2 linked regions of the Caenorhabditis elegans genome follow. The protein of the gene in region 2 interacts with the protein of the main gene of each other region in a pairwise test. Each region holds a gene or a part of one and is shown on either strand. Other genes may lie near its edges.

Evidence for each region. The genes of interacting proteins can lie anywhere in the genome.
Region 1: the proteins of arp-1 (region 2) and ifas-3 interact in a two-hybrid assay, tested with the Caenorhabditis elegans proteins (one large-scale study listed by BioGRID).

The regions. Positions count from the first base shown.
Region 1 is NC_003282.8:15,949,187-15,952,564, forward strand, and holds ifas-3 (Ig-like domain-containing protein), read right to left. Parts: upstream 1,703-3,378; 5' UTR 1,676-1,702; coding exon 1,622-1,675; intron 1,574-1,621; coding exon 1,319-1,573; intron 1,272-1,318; coding exon 1,165-1,271; intron 738-1,164; coding exon 539-737; 3' UTR 506-538; downstream 1-505. Other genes in the region: Y105C5B.15 (Purple acid phosphatase), read left to right, coding at 2,756-2,891, 3,331-3,378.
Region 2 is NC_003280.10:15,118,306-15,123,850, reverse strand, and holds arp-1 (Actin), read right to left. Parts: upstream 3,551-5,545; 5' UTR 3,543-3,550; coding exon 3,450-3,542; intron 3,375-3,449; coding exon 2,935-3,374; intron 2,169-2,934; coding exon 1,994-2,168; intron 1,944-1,993; coding exon 1,806-1,943; intron 1,067-1,805; coding exon 788-1,066; 3' UTR 506-787; downstream 1-505.

The DNA.
Region 1 (3,378 bases), on a different chromosome or scaffold from region 2:
ATGTTTACATAAATTAACATAATTTCATAACTACAATTGGTCAAAGATATTGTAAGGATGAACGCAACGAATTACATAGTTTTTTTTTTCAATTTTCCAGTTCCCAACAGTTTCATAAATTAAACATTTTAAAATTTAAACCTCAATTAACTCCTACAAAAACTTTTTAGAAATTGGAAAACGAGTTGTCAGATCATAATTAAATAATAAAAAACAAGTTTTTAAAAGTAGACTATCTGAAACAGTAATTCAATAAATTTTTGGACAGTTTTAAACTTTCACTGTTTCGCCTATAACACAAATTCAAGGTTATTATCAATGGTCACTCTTCTGGCAAAATCAGCAAATGATACACCCACACATGCTTGCACCTAATTATGATTTTATCAGTTTGTGATTTCGATTTCTGAACTTTTTGCAAAAGTGTCTAGAATCATCTGTACACTAATACATGGCCAGACATCTGCCCGGTTTCGAGTCGTTCCTTGCAGTGCAATAGTATCAAAATCAAATATTTATTTTATTAACAAAAAATAAGTTACCACGACTCTAACAAAAATTCTTCACACGCTTGACGGTCCTTCACAGTGCACACTTGCCCATCTTCGTGAGCACTGAGCCATGTTCCGTTAGAACTGAGAAACGACCAGGTCCCGTTGCCATTTTCGAATGGGCTCCACAGTTCCGTTGGCTCAGGAATGTATACTAGAGTCAGCTGGTTGCTCCCCAGGCAAGCTCTGCAATGTTTTTTAGGCTCACTTCTAGATGCTAGAAAGTTTTTTCTTTTCAATTTTCAAATTCTATACGTTGGAAGTTTAAGTACTGTACTGTAGTACTGTATAGTCGCTTCTGTAGTACTGTATAGTCGCAAGGCAAAAATTGGCACCACAACCAATATCAGGCCGCCGACATCTTACGAGTTCCGCGCTCCACTATATTTTCCTCGCAGAGGGCGGGACAGCTCGCCAAGCCCGCTGAACGTAGTGGCGCGCGGAACCCGTCAAATGTCGGCGGCCTGATATTGATTGGGGCGCCAATTTTTGCCTTTTCTCCGTGGGCCTATATAAGTGTACACGCAACAGTTTTAAATTTCTCGCAAGTTTCATATATTTAACCGAAATGGGACACTCTGACACCACATGTCTTTACAGAGCCTACACGTACCTTAGATATTTGCCCCGTGGATCAACTGCCCTGAAAACCACTTTCTCGTTCCAGTCCTCAATAATCCAATTTTCACATGTCCCCGCTTCGCCCGACTTCATGTCAACCTAGAATTATTCTCTATCAGCACAGTTTTTTTTTACTTTTTTGAAACCTTCAATCCTTCGTCATACCAATGAAGATATGTTCCATGACACGAACGTATCCTCCGTTTTCCGGCGGCACCTTCTGCGAACTGCCGCATGGTTTCTGGGACTCGGGCTTTTCGAATGTAGTCCGGGTGCTGTAATCCTAGCTGTTGTAATTGTAGAAAAGCCCGGTCTTGTTGTGCAATGTTAGGTGATCTCATCGTGTTGACTAGTTGAACAAAGTTCCGATAGTCAGTGTCGACGGTTATTTGAAAGTTGTGCTGAAAATATTTTTTATAACAATTTAATTATTTAAAAAAAGAGCCTACCAGTCGATCATGTGTATCGCCAACTGTTAAATTGTAATAACTTTCTTCTTGCATTCCCAAATGAAAATATTCAATCTGAAAAACATGGGGAACGTTAACAGTTTTATTTCCAGTCAAATCTGGAAAATGATTTTTTTTTCTCAAAAAAATTCCTGTTACAGAAAAATTTTTTTTTTTTCATGGTTGTCTTCTAAGCAGTTAATAGTTACAGTTAAAAAATTAGAGAAATTAGAAGCAGAGAAATTATATTGTGCAAAAACTCTGTGCTTGTTTAAAAGAAATAATGAGCAAGAAAAGGTAAACAATGGAAAATAATATGACTGTTTCATCTTATGTTAGTAAGTACAAACTTAAGTGGCTGTTTACTGTTCAGCTTTTTCCACTTAGAAATGTTTTTTTGGTCAAACGCAAATAGATCAGACTACACTCAAAATAAAAAAAAACTGCGTGGGCGTGTACTGCAGAAAACCTAATATTTAGGTCCCGCCTTTTTCTCGTCCACTCACGGAGAAAAGGCAAAAATTTTGACCCCAACCAATTTCAGGTCGCCGACATCTCACGGGTTCCGCGCGTCGCTGCGTTTAGCTCGCTGTGGGCGTGGCGAGCTGTCTCCGCCTGCTGCGAGTCAAACATAGCGGCGCGCGGAACCCGTGATATGTCGGCGGCCTAATATTGGTTGGGGTCAAAATTTTTGCATTTTCTCCGTTAGTGGACGAGAAAAAGGCGGGGCCTAAATATTACGTTTTCTGCAGTACACGCCCACGCAGTTTTTTTTTTGAGTGTAAATTCCTACAAATGATTATGTGAAAAATTTGAGTTTTTTTACAAAAAAATTGCAAGAAATTTGAAATTTTTAAGACAAAATCTTCTGTTTCACCTTTATTTTTTAATGTTTCTAGTGATGCAAATCTTATTATTTGATTTGCATTTTTTTTTGCAAAAAATTAACTTTCCCCATTTTTCCCCATCAATCAAACGAATTATCATCAAATCTACAGTTCTTATCATTTTTTTATTGCTAATCAGTCATAACTCAAGAAGAATGACATCGGAAACGACGCGAATCGGAACAGATTAAAAACTATAAAACCAAAGAATTTCAGATGGAAAACTCATCATTTTCCCAGAAAAACGATGAGAAAACTGCTAGTTTCGTTGGTTTTATTGATTTTCTCTGAAAATGTGACAGCGAATCGGGTGGAGCAGGTTCATCTCAGTTTGAGCGGGAAAATGGATGAAATGGTTGTGACGTGGCTAACGCAGGGACCTCGTGGGTTTTTTTTTGTTTTTTCATATTGATTTTTCAATAATGGGTTTCTAAGCATCCAGTGAAATTTTCTACAAATTTTTTTTCTAAATTATGAAAATTTTTTTACTGTTTCGAAAACTCTATTTTAAGTGTGTATGTTTTTCAAAATTTGTTAATGACGTTTTTTCCTCTGAATAATTCACATATTATTTGTTGTATTATTTTGCCACATTTGAAGAAAACCAACTTTTTTAAAACAATTTTCAAATTTTTTACTGTTTCAGTTTTTTTTTTTCAATGTAAAATGCCATTATAGGCGTGTTATTAAAAAAAAATTTCCTTAAATAAACAGAATATTATAATTAAAATTTTTACACTGCTTCATCTAGTTCTCAAAAACTTTCCCGTTTTCTACATTTCAATTCCACAATGAATTCCACAAATATTCTGGAATTTTCAGTACCAAATGTGACGCCATATGTGATGTACGGATTATCTAAGGATGCTC
Region 2 (5,545 bases):
AAATTCCAGAATTGAAATTACCGGCAAATTGGCAGAATTGAAATTTCCGGCAAATCGGCAAACTTCCAGAATTGAACTTTCCGGCAAATCGGCGAATTTCCGGAATTGAAATTTTCCGGCAAATCGGCAAATTTGCAGAATTGAAATTTCCGGCAAATCGGCAAATTTGCAGAATTGAAATTTTCCGGCAAATCGGCAAATTTGCAGAATTGAAATTTCCGGCAAATCGGCAAACTTCCAGAATTGAAATTTTCGGCAAATCGACAAATTTCCAGAATTGAAAATTTCCGGCAAATTTGCGGAACTGAAACTTCCGGCAAATCGGCAAATTTCCGGCAAATTTTCCGGAATTGAAATTTCCGGCAAATCGGCAATTCGGAAAATTTCCGTAAAGTTTTTTTTAAAAATATTTTCCTCATGTCTTAAAATTGCACAGTTTCCGCCTGACGCAGCGGCTCCATTGAGCTGCCGGGAACCTGTAATAAATTGCATTGAAGAATTCCATAAAAATCGAATCGTTTAGATATAAAAAATAATAATTGAAACAGGCATAAAGCAGATAGTGGGACACGGAACTGGGGGAGGAGGGGGTAAATTGAATAATTATGTCCAGAGAATCGGGCTATATAACATTTTTTGAAGAAGGTCGCCTATTTTTGAGAAAATTTTGAAGAATTTTTGAGCCAGCGCCAAATGGAACAAATTAGGGAGAAAAAGGGGGAAAATATGCAAAAAAAACAAATAAATTACGATGAAAAGTGAGCAAAAAAGGGAAAAAATTCAATATTTAGAAGAATCTCTTGTGCATCGCCGACGCTCCCATATCTTCGTACTCCTTCTTTCCGAGCCACATTTTTCGGAAAGTGTCCAAACTGGCGACAATCGAACCGCCGATCCATGTGAGCGAATTTCGTTCCTGCGACGCGGAAATTCGAATTTTTCCGTCAGCGGGCGCGATTTTTCGCATTTCTCCCAGCAAACGATCGCCGAATCCTTTGAACAACGTCGTTCCACCGCTCAGCACGATGTTGCTGTACAGAGTTTGTCGAAGATCCACGTCACATTTCTGGAAATATTTAGTTTGAGCTGATGGGTGTTTTTTTTTTTTAGAAATTCCGCATTTTTTGGCTAAAATTTAACTGAAAATTTATTTAAAAAAATTCCTCTGATATCACAGTGGCTAAATATCATAGAAAAAAAAATTCTAAATTTTATATGATTTTTAAAAATTGAAAAATAGCTTTAAAAAATTTAAACCTCGCGCCAAGTGGTTTTATCGATTTTTTTTTTTAATTTTCTACCGATTTTTCATGTTTTCAGTATTTTTTTACTGGAAATTCGAAGGAAAAGTTAAGAAAAATGCGAAATATCAATTAAAAATCAGCGTTGAAGGCGTAAACCTTCAATGTTGAGTTTTAATCGATAATTCGCATTTTTCTTGACTTTTCTTCAAACTTCCTGTAAAAATACACTGAAAACGTGAAAAATCGGTGGAAAATAAGATAAAAATCGATAAAATCACTTGGCTAGGCTCGTTTTAAAGAAATTTCGCATTTTTTGGGTAAAATTCAACAGAAAATTGATATTTATATGGTAATCTTGTAGAAATTTCGATTTTTGTTCTACTTTAAGAGCTAAAACATTTCCAAAACGAAAAATCAAGTTAAAAAGTCTAAAAGATGAAAAATGTGCACTTAAAATAGCAATATTATGTGCCAATTAATATTTTCCAACGAAATTCCACCAAAAATTAAGCAAAAATGTCTGAAAAAGTGATTTTTCGTCCGAGCAGGCTGTGAGCCTACCATAATTGATTGATTGACAACATGTGCCATTCCAGGCCACTCGGTTCCGATCAAATCCGGCTTGAAGAGCACTTCCGGCGCACGGAACAATGAGTTGGAGATTTCGATTTTCGTGGTGTCTGGCAGAGCGTAGGATGACTGAAAGAATGCGATTTTCAGCTCATTTTCACTGCAAAAAAAATCACTACTTTCACTGAATTATTCTCCACTTTCGTCGGATCCAACGCCAAATAGCACGCGTTCTCCTTCATCTCTCGGACAATTTCGAACTCATTGCTCCTGTGGAACTCGTATCCTTCTCTGCGCAGAAGGACTCGGAGGTATTCGGTGACATCGCGACCCGCCAAATCCATTCGTTGAATTCTGAAAAAAGGAAATTTTAGAATTAAATGCTTTTTTTAAAGGTGGAGTGCGCCCAATGGAGAAATTGCTTTAAAACACGCCTATGTGGTCACAATGACCGAATATCATGATTAAAAAATTCAAAAAAATTTTCCTGATTTTATATGATTTTTTGAAAATTGCAAAAATATCAGTTTTCCCCCCTAATTCCTATTTGAATTTCCGCCAATTGAATTCGTTCGCTGGAGCGCACTTGCATTATTTTTATTAATTTAAATTTTTATTTCATTTTTTCTCATTACTTCACTGATTTTCTTCATTCTTTGTGTATTTTTATCGGAAAAAGAGAGAAAAATTCAAGATAAATTGCAAATTATTTATTTAAAAATCACTGAAAATGGGTGAAACTGTGAACTAAGCTAATTTCAGGTTTGCTATCGCCGGAACTCATAATTTTACAGTTTTACGCATTTTCAGTGATTTTTAAATAAATAATTTGCAATTTATCTTGAATTTTTCTCTCTTATTCCGATAAAAATACACAAAGAATGAAGAAAAACCAGTGAAATAATGAGAAAAAATAAAATGAAATGCAAGTGCGCTCCAGCGAACGAATTCATATGGCGGAAATTCAAACCGGAATTAGGGGAAAACTGGGATTTTCGCAACTTTCAAAAAAAAAAAATCATATAAAATCTAGAAAATTTTTTTGAATTTTTTTATCATGATATTCGGTCATTGTGACCACATAGGCGTGTTTTAAAGCAATTTCCCAGAGTTTACTGACGCATGCTTCATTGCAAATCCCTTAACAATCGGAACAGCATGTGTGACTCCGTCTCCTGAATCCAAAACGACTCCGGTCGTTCTTCCGGTGGCGTACAGCGATAGCACAGCTTGCATTTGAATATATAACGCTGGAACATTGAACGTTTCGAAGAAGATCTCAGCAGATCGCTCGCGGTTCTTCAACGGATTCAATGGGGCGTCGGTGAGCAGAACTGGATGCTCTTCTGGGAAGATTTTCAGCTGATCCTGTCCGAAAATGTACTCCCAAATTTTTTCCATATCGCTCCAGTTATTGACGATTCCGTGTTCCATTGGGTATTCGATTGAGAACAACCCGCGGTTTGATTCGGCCTTTGGTCCGATGAAAATGTCTCCGTCGAGCCCTCCGGCCATTACTCTGTGATATTTCGGTCGTCCGACGAAGTTGGCGAAGCGAACCTGTAAAAAATGAATTAAAAGATGATTTAAAATTCAAAATTCAAAAATCTCAAGTTTTGATTCGTTATTGCCTACCTTTGGCTGCTGTTCTCCGGCGAAACCAGCCTTAATGACTCCGGAGCCATTGTCGATGACCACAGGCTGATTGGCGATGACGTCGTAGTCCATTTTGTAACCTGAAAGATAAAATAACAGTTTTAACCAAAATTTGAGCTTGAAACAATTAAAAAACCCCGGATTAATTGGCATTTTCTGTGGAAACAAAATTAAATGAGAGTTGCGAAATGTACGCAGAGTTGCAGCCGCCGTGTTTGCGGACAATGCATCATTTGCGCGGAGAAATGGGGGTTTTGTACTTTGGAGGACAGAGGCTGAACAAATACATAGCGAGAGTATCGGAAACTATTGATTTTCCAATAGTATAATAAGAATACATGCACCTATACTTCTGGCAAAATATTACAACAGGATTCGATGCGGACCTGAGCAAAAAGAAAGCAATCCTCTTACGCGCGCGCCTTTAAAGAGTACTGTAATTTCAAACTTCCGTTGCTGTGGAATTTTCATGGATTTTTTTGGAAATTTTTCCATAAAAATATTTATTTAAAATGTGTTACAGTTTTTAATCACCAAAACATTGGAAATATTTTGCAATATATAGCTCTAATTAGAGCTCTAAACTGTTAATTTCAAAATTGAAGTTCAAACAACAAAGTGGGCGTGGCCAAACGAGACTCCGAATTCCGATACGCAGTTTGCAGTGGGAATTGATGAATTTCAAGTTTTAAATGAAGTTTTCGAGATTTTGTTCACCGAAAATAGAAGTTTATTAACTACATACAAGACAAATTAGCATTTGAAAACAAAATGGCTTGCTAGAAAAAAAAACCTGAACCAAAAAGTAAGTTGATAAAACCAAAAAACATTTTTCATTCATTTGAATATCCTATCTTGTATTTCTTCGCCGAAAGTTGTCCAAAGTTGGAGAAAGTTGTTGGGGAAAGTTTCTCGAAAGTTTCTCGAACCGTATACAGTAGTCATCACTTTCAGCAGTTTCTGTGTAAATTTTGCGTAGATCACAGTTTATTTATCTCTCAAATCGTATTTCTGTTTTATTGTTATCTACAAATACATTGTGATCTACGTGTGATCTACAAAAACAAACGCCTCTTGCATTGTTTTTTAATCTTGTCGTCTATACTACACACACACACACACGTCTCCCATCCGGAATGATACTTGGCACAGTGCCCGCAGTGTTGTGATCTCTGCGCAACATGGCCCTCTTCCTCCCTCTCTCGGCGTCTCTCACAATAGAGTGCTGTCTGCAGACCGTTGTGGTGCACAGTTTTTTTTTATTGTTTTCTGCTTTCAAATCCTTGTTGCTTTCATATTTTCTGCTCGTTTCTTTTTCCATAATTGAAAACTGTTTATCGAAATAATCTTTTGTAGCTTTGCAAAGTTAAACATGTTTCATTTTTTCTCACAAATTCCGACAGAAATTTCATTTACTTTCAGTGACCACCACGCCAGTACAAGTACCAGCTCGCATGACTAAAGGAAGTTCTGATAAAGACAATGGATACGAAAACATCAGATAATCGTAGTTTGGATCGGAATTGAGTGATGACATGTTTGAGGTATTGCGCATGTGTCTTCTGCCACATTTTAACAATTTTTAATTTAGGAGGACATCTACATGACACATAGAAGTTTGTCAATCTGTTGTCAAGACTCCGACTACAATTGCACCATATGAAAATTTTGGCGAGAGAAATGAAAAACAGACGTACTGGTTAATGGCCGACTGTTGTCGATGTGGTCCGAAGAACTCTATTTATTGAAAGTCCTGAAAGACTAGGGTGAGTTTCAGCTTGTTTAAAAGAATACATATATTTACCGAGGGGAATTTGAAATAATTTTGTTATGTATTTCAGCTCCGGAAACAGTTTTTGCAATCAGAAGATCCCTGGAATTCCTTAGAACACTCGCTCCACATGCAAATTGTCGTCGTTTTGAAGGAGTCATTATTGGAAAACGGGAACACTCGTGGTGGATCTCTTCGAAATTGCATTGCCGCGGTGGGTTTAATGAAAAATATCGGAAGTGCATACTACACTGGGTCATTTTGTAGACTTGTTGGTGGGCATTTAGGGGGGGGGGCGGCTTCC